Linked DNA regions of Neurospora crassa OR74A. The protein of the gene in region 2 binds, or shares a complex with, the protein of the main gene of each other region. Links are inferred from orthologs where the notes say so. Each region holds a gene or a part of one and is shown on either strand. Other genes may lie near its edges.

Region 1 (3,213 bases), on a different chromosome or scaffold from region 2:
CCCGAGAACCAGTTCGCCTTCACTGGCGAGTGCAAGAACAAGACGTGAGTTTTTTGTACCGCTTTGTCACCGCAACTGCTACATTGGCTAACAAATAACAACAGGTACGCCATGGACGTCGTCCGTGAGTGCAACGAAGCCTGGGAGCGTCTCATCACCGGCAAGACTGCCCCTGGCGGTGTCTCCACCACCAACGTCACTGTCCAGCACTCCAGCAGCCGTGTTGCCCCTGACCAGCTTCCTCCCCTCCCTCCCAACGAGAATCTCCCCCCTGCCCCTATCGATAGCTCCATCGACAAGTGGTTCTTCATCAGCGGTGCTTCCGCTTAGAGAGTTCGTTTGTTGAGGTAGAATAAAGATAATTTATTGGCACTTTGTTGTATTGGTCAATTCGTCGTGAACAATCCTCCATGGTGTTACCCTCATGCGTTGTTTTGCGTAGAGTCGAACGTCTTTGCAACAAGGTATGCGCGGTCAGAGATTGGCCATTTCTGAGGCTGTAGTCCATGCCGTGGGATAGGGACTTGTCGAGGAGATGCTCGACATTCTTGCGCCATGAGTTTCGCCGTTGAAATATACCGATACCGTTGATGAATTCCCCATCGAAGGAAACACGGTCGCCAAAACAAAAACAAAAAAAAAAAAAAAGGCCGATCTCAACTTTGACTTTGTCAAAATGGGCGTACCGTGATGTGTGTGAATCAATCCATGGCAGAGGTGCTATATACGCATGTCTATAACAACAGGTACCCAAACTGCCTTGCCAACTGAAAATCGCCGGCCCCTTAACGCCTCCCAATGCTGTTGGTGTACACTTACAACCTCTTGCCCAATACAAATACAGGTTCATATCTTTTGTTGTTGTTTTCTTCTTTTTGGCTGGTAAGGCGATCTTACAGATCTCTCAGAGAGGTCGTCAGGTATCCGGCTCCAAGCTCGCTGGCTTTACCCAGGTGATTCGAATGTGCCTTTAGATATCCAGACTTTTCCTCTTCTCCTCCCGGTCAATCGTCATTTTGGTACCACGGACCAAAGCCAAGTAGTCTGGGTATCAAGACAAGATGGGCTTTCGTCGCTCTTCCCGTGGCTTTTCCCTCCTTTTTCCTAGTCTCAGTCTCCCTCGTTTTACCCGCAAAGTTCGATTGGTGGATCAAAACACAACAAGGGCGTCTCGAGATTGCTGGGTTTTGAAGAAGAAAAGAAAGACAGAGATTCGGTTAACCGTCGTTCAAGTCGGCCTGCTTCTGAAGGATACGAGAGTGGCGATCCACCTCCTCGACAATGCTTTTGATGCCCATGTTCTCAACGTCGAGGTTCATTTCCTTGCCGTCCTCTGTTTTTTTTCAAATACGTTAGACTACGGCTTGATTCACAGCTAACGACTCTTGATTGCCTTCCAGCCGGAATGATCCAAATTGCAACAACCAACTGCAACGGCGGTCCGTCGATGTGTGACAGAGTTGCAAGTGACAAGAAGAGAGACATTGGGAAAACGTACTGAACTTGACGTAGAGCAAAGGAGTCTCGGTGGAATTCCGCGGCAGAAGCTGGGTGGTGATGTTCATGCCATTGGAGCGGGCGTTGGGAGGGAGGAAGGAGAGGAAGAGCCGGGCGGCCTTGGCCTTGGCCGAGAAAGGGTTGAAGCGCGTTGATACGTCGGTGATGAAGCGGGTGAGCATGTTGGGCGAGGTCTCTCGGGTGGTGGTGGTGGTGACCTGAGGTCGTGTTGGGGTTGGGTTCGGGGAGGAAGAAGAAGAAGAAGAAGAAGCAGGAGGAACGCGGAGGCCTGACTGCGACTTTGCGAATTTGCGACGACGGGACTGCACTGCACACCGGACGGGGACGGATACGGAGACGCGGGAGACGGGAGACGGGTCTCTGTGGAGGATCGGACGGGGTACGTAGCTTGTGTGTCGCGATTTGGACTTCGATTCGGTCTTCGTGCCTGGCGCCGGCCGGCAGCGTGGAGGAGGGATGCGATCAAAAATTACTGGAGGTACGTACCGATTGCGCCGGGGACCGGGAGGGGTGTTTTTTGTAAAACGGAGAATGCGGGACGGCGCGTGCTACGTGTGAGAGATGGGCTGTGATTGGTTGGGAGCCAACTGGGATCAAACGGTGTCAGGCTCGATTTTGCATTCATATTTACACTACATCAGATCAATTGACATAATACATCTTTTTAATCTTCTGAACGGGAAGAGAATCACTTCTGGCCTTCTATTACATTGTGTTAGTCTGTAGCCCTGAGTGTGTAAGTTTGTGCTTTGTTCCTTCAGCGCAACAGTACGTACTCCCATTTGCCCCAGCGAGTTGTAACTTGAACTCCGTTACCGAATTCCGCATGTGATCCGTTTTCATTGACCTTGAGGATGACGTTGCAAGAGCCACGCCCACCGAGAACTTCCATTGAACATCGCTACAGTGCTCTCCTTTCAGGCCAGGTTTCCACTAATTATCAACAACAGCACAGCTGCTGATCAACACCAGGTACCTAAGTGGGATCCGACTACGATCCATGGAAACCATTTGTTACACATCCACCTTTTTCCAACACATATCTATCTACCTTTACCGAGTCAACTCCCTACGAATGCAATACCGACATAATACAACAAGTCACTAATGTCAACATTCGAAACGCTTCAAGAGCGGCTCACGGCCCTCCAAGAGACGACCGGCCAGCTTAAGGACCTCATCGAGCGTCTCGCCACGCTCAAATTCGAGCCCGGTTCCGTTCCTTTGAGCAACAGCATCAGCAGTCTCGCGAACACTGGCGCCGATGGAACCACCAACAGTGAGGCCGCTGACTTGAGCGCCGAAATCAGCCAGGTCTTGCGCGAGGAGGAGGAGGATTTGGAGTTGCTGCAGGAGGAGATTATCGACTTGCGCTCCGGCCGCCCAGGGAGTGAGGCGGAACATCAAAAGACGAGGTTAAAGGAGGGCGCGCAACGCTTGGCTGCCGAGCTTAAGGGGTGAGTTTTGTTTCTCATCTTTTCAGCCTGGATGGTGATGACGATGATGAAGATGAAGATAAACAACGTACCTAACAAAATTGCGTCTCAAAAAAATACAGCTGTCGAACCTCCTTCCGCAAAGCCCAACTCGCGGCGCGCCGCAACCTTGAAACCGCCCAGCGCCTCGAGCGCCAGCTCCTCTTAGCCTCCTACGTTGCCGTCGCCGCCAACCTCGCCGCATCAGACCGCGGATCAG
Region 2 (4,349 bases):
GCTTACCTTGTTGCTTGCGTTTACACCAAAACATGCGAAGAACATTGTTAAGGCATGTTCACGATTCAAAGTCATGGAAGGTGGGCTCTTCTCTGTGAGTTCACTAGTATTCGCCAATAGTACGAAACGGTAAGAATAGAGGTAGTTTCCTCTATAATCCATTACAGAACTGATCCACATCAAAGTTAGCTTTATTCACGACGTAGCCAGGCTCTGGAGCACCAACGCAAGACGGCCAGCGGAGGGTAACCGACGTTGAATGTATTCCGAATATTGCATTACTACCACCAACCGGCCGGCCTCAACCAAGCCAAGATGTCCTGTTATTCCATCAAGCCTTTGGAAGCCATGTACTGTATGACCAAACGGCCGGGGTGGCAGGGCCTATGCCCAAATTTACTTTTTCTCCTGTGTCGTCCCGTTCTCCTTTTGCGCCCGCTCATACTCGATAATCTGTCTGCTCCAGCTAGTGGAGGTAATATCGGTTGCGTCAGCTTAAGAACATCCCCGCGGTCTGCGCTCGCGGAAAACGTTACGCATGTATAAAAATTTGGATGGGGGTCTGTCTGCCAGGACATACTATCTGCTGGGATAAAAGCGACCAGGCTCGGGCATCTTGTGACGGTACTCTTTCTCGGCGCTAAGCTTCCAGACTGCGGCAGTGATGAGGAAGACGACGCCACCGAGAACAGCCGTGTTCTTCTTCCAGTTGGCCGGCTGGGCGTACCAACCACCCGAAGGCGACCAGACGTGTTTGGGGTAGCTGGAGTGAAGGGCGAGGCAACGATTAGGACGGATCCATGACACAACGCAGGCTGGGTTGGACAGAATGCGCGGAGGGTTTGCGCATGTCGAGGGCGATGAAACTCACGGAACTTGGGGACCGCCGCCCTATAGACAGGAAAAATAGAGAGTTAGCAGACACAAAACATAGTAGTGATGATGGCTATTCTAAGCAATCGGGTGGATACGCACCATTGTGATGAAGTTTTGGGATATGTGGTGAGGTAGGTTGGACGTTCAACGAGGAATGATTCTTTCCACCTCGCAGTTAAGCAAGATCGGTTTGTACTGTCAACTTTGCGATGCACTGCGAACGACGGCACAATAGTGGTGATGCTTCAGCGGGAACAATTGGATAGAAGGACGAATGATGAATCCGCCTACAGGCTGACGAGGGGCTAAATCGCATCAACCATCCAGGCCTGAAAGTCACCATGTCACTCGTCCTAACTGGGGCCGAGGGCGCATGCGACAGACGGGCGGCGGGCGGCGGGCGGGCAGCTCCCGCTTGTCCACCACAGTGCACCGTATGCTAAACAGACAGCGCAGATAGTGGATTGGGGTCGAAGATGGATCTTGTGGGGACCCTCACTGGGCCAACAACGAATCATGTCAGCCGGCTTTTATGTCTCGGTCTTGGGGGAGTAACCCCTGCGCTTGAGCACTGATTCACGGCTCTGGGTGGTGGGCTTGTCTAGTGTACGGGTGGTGAGCGTTCAGATTGGAGAACTTTTTTTTTCTACCCGTGTTCGACGGCCGGCCGAGTCTGAACGAGAACCCATCCGATCAACGCGCGACTCCGACCGGGATCCCGAGTAGCTTCCCACCCCGCGACCACCGGCTCACCACCTGCCCGTCCGATTTCCCTCACTCCATCCTTTTCTTGGCAGGGCCTCCAGACGGCGCACACTTACGGAACCTGGGCCCCAGCACGTCAACACCCGGTTGTCGAGCCGACCATCACCCATCAAATATATCGCCCATGAAGAGGATAGCAACGCCCAGCTTGACGAGCCGGCTGCTCGTCGCCGCTCGCTCCGGAGTGTCGCCCGCCACTGCCGCCATCCGATCCCGATCTGCAATCTCGGTGCGATCGCAATCGACAGCTGCCCTCGCTCAGCACGATGCATCCCACGATCTCAACAATGATCGGTTCCCCCCGCTTGAGCCCCTCCCCCCCGCGGCCGAGTCCCTACCGTCGCCCCTCCCCGAACGGGCCTTGACCTCGGCCAAACTGGCCGCCCTCCACGCCCGTTTGAATCTTTCTCCCAAGATCCCCTTACAGACATTGGCAAGGACACTGGTCGACGCCTCGGCCGACGAGAACCCGCAGTTCAACAACGCCAACCTCGCCTTCGTTGGCCAGACCCTCATCAACTACCATATTGCCGAATGGCTCCTCTGCAAATACCCCCGTCTACCCCAGGGAATTCTCTTCAGTGCCATGAAGGCTTATGCCGGACCGAAGCCCTTGCTCCAGATTGCGCGGTCATGGGGTGTTGATACCGCCGCGGTGCCCGGCGGCGAGGTGGATCCCGGTCTTCTGCAGTTCGATGCCCTTAAGCCCGGCGTCGCCATCACAAATTTCGGCTACAAGCGTACAGAGCTCGCCTACCTCGAGAAGTTCAAGTGGCGTCGCGGTATGGCCTCGCGTGTCGTTCTCGACGACGACTTTGGTGATGTCGTGCGCAGCGACCCCAAGGTTGCCGCCGATCTGGAGAAGGCGATGGAAGAGCAGGATCAGGACAAGACTCCCGACGAGGAGGAGGCCGAGATGGTCGCTAATGAGCAGGACCAGGACGTGAGCTACGACCGCTACGGCAACCCCGACACCCGGGCCGCTGCTGAGCGGGCCCACGCCTACTTTGTGCGCGCCGTCGTCGGTGCCATCTACGCCCACTGCGGCCGCGAGGCCGCCAAGGCCTTTGTCAAGGCGCACATCATGTCGCGCACCCTCGACATTGCCAAGCTCTTCGAATTCAAGTACCCCACCCGCGAGCTCGCCGCGCTCTGCGCCCGTGAGGATTTCGAGCCCCCCGTGGCTCGTCTCCTCTCCGAGACGGGTCGCCAGTCGCGCACCCCCGTTTTTGTTGTCGGTATATACAGCGGCAGCGACAAGCTCGGCGAGGGCGCCGCCTCCTCTCTCGACCACGCCCGCTTCAAGGCCGCCATGAACGCCCTGAAGGCTTGGTATCTCTACAGCCCTGGCGAGAACCCTCGGGTACCCAGTGATATGCTGGAGGAGGGTGCCAAGCCCTGGACGCCAGCATACATTGATATGGGTGAGGTTATCTCCCGCTAAATGAGGAGGCTGAAACACGGAGCATGGCGGCGGACAGTACGGCAGGGCAGTAGAGAACTTAGGAAGTGTATGAAACGAAAGGTAAAAAGAGAGTCGCAGATGGCCTGCTTACACTCTCGGTTTTATTGGTTGTGCGGCCCATCAACTCGGGATAGGTTCCCCTTGTGGAAATCGACGCAAGAGGATCGAGAGGGAAACAAAACAACGAGTGGATTTTGTTGGTGTGGTCTAAAAGCTCAGCTTACCTTTCCACTCTTGTCCTGTCCTGTTGAGAGCGGGCAATTTCCGTCCTGCGAAGGAAGGGGATATTAAATGGATGGTCCTCTCCCATCCAGTCACTCCCTTTCCTTCCATTGTTTCTTGCTCTTTTTGCCAAAGACGAGATGTTGTATACAGATTTGCGCGCAACGGACATACATGTACACACACGCACACCCCCGCCACATATACCAATACAAAGGGGGGTTGGGACGGAACGGGGAATGAAGAGGGTCTGGATGGTGGCTGCTTGGCTCTGCTTTCGACAAAGAGAGACACAACCCTCGTCGGGGTGGCATCTGTGTCCTTCTTTCTCAGTGTATAATACCAAAAAAGTAGCCGAGGCCAGGGAGAAGGAAGATCATCGTCTGTATGTGTAGCATTAAGAAGTCAAATTTTTTACGAGGCATCAACGAAGTACATGACATGATAAATCCTTCCTCTACGTATTGACTGCTCTGGCATGAGGAGAAGGCTGTGTAAGAGAGAATATGGTACTACGCAATTTACACGCATTGTACAATTCCAGGATGTGTAAGCCCTTGTTTTGTATAACAAGCATCGTAAAGGAAGAAATGGGAATACGCAACCGGCAAGAGTAAAAGACCGGACGACGAGATCGAGCCTGGAAGTTCCTCCCAAGCTTGCGCGCCTTCCATTCATCCAAACTAGAGGTTGTTTAGTATCTATTTTGCCTTGTGCTTTCTTCACATTGCTCTTGTTTATCTTATACGTGAGAGGAAGATGAAGTTGGTGAGAGGGGAGATGAAATGTGGACTGTTCTCTCTGTAGTTGCGTCCTCACTTTCTCACCCCCTCCTGGTACTTTGTCACGACGTTTCCAAAAACACGTTCATCAGAACTTGCGACCTGATGCAAAGGGATCAATGAAGGAGACTTTGACAACTATAGAATTGGCATATTGTTAAGGTACAGTGGTCTAAGATAATAGGGTGCACCAAGGAGAACATGGAGTGCGCGTAGGTTTTCTCCTACTGGTTAAAAAA

The links. The genes of interacting proteins can lie anywhere in the genome.
Region 1: NCU08299 (region 2) and NCU00952 share a complex: the UniProt entries of both Saccharomyces cerevisiae proteins name them as parts of the mitochondrial large ribosomal subunit. The link is inferred for Neurospora crassa OR74A from reciprocal best matches to the Saccharomyces cerevisiae genes MRPL3 and MRPL44.

What each region holds. Positions count from the first base shown.
Region 1 is NC_026501.1:6,595,464-6,598,676, reverse strand, and holds NCU00952 (mitochondrial 54S ribosomal protein YmL44), read right to left. Parts: upstream 1,974-3,213; 5' UTR 1,680-1,973; coding exon 1,499-1,679; intron 1,334-1,498; coding exon 1,218-1,333; 3' UTR 652-1,217; downstream 1-651. Other genes in the region: NCU00951 (inorganic pyrophosphatase), read left to right, coding at 1-44, 105-330; NCU00953 (hypothetical protein), read left to right, coding at 2,626-2,975, 3,077-3,213. UniProt on the Saccharomyces cerevisiae protein: Component of the mitochondrial ribosome (mitoribosome), a dedicated translation machinery responsible for the synthesis of mitochondrial genome-encoded proteins, including at least some of the essential transmembrane subunits of the mitochondrial respiratory chain.
Region 2 is NC_026504.1:2,488,129-2,492,477, forward strand, and holds NCU08299 (mitochondrial 54S ribosomal protein YmL3), read left to right. Parts: upstream 1-1,475; 5' UTR 1,476-1,765; coding exon 1,766-3,085; 3' UTR 3,086-3,864; downstream 3,865-4,349. Other genes in the region: NCU08300 (uncharacterized protein), read right to left, coding at 397-466, 581-763, 872-891, 976-978. UniProt on the Saccharomyces cerevisiae protein: Component of the mitochondrial ribosome (mitoribosome), a dedicated translation machinery responsible for the synthesis of mitochondrial genome-encoded proteins, including at least some of the essential transmembrane subunits of the mitochondrial respiratory chain.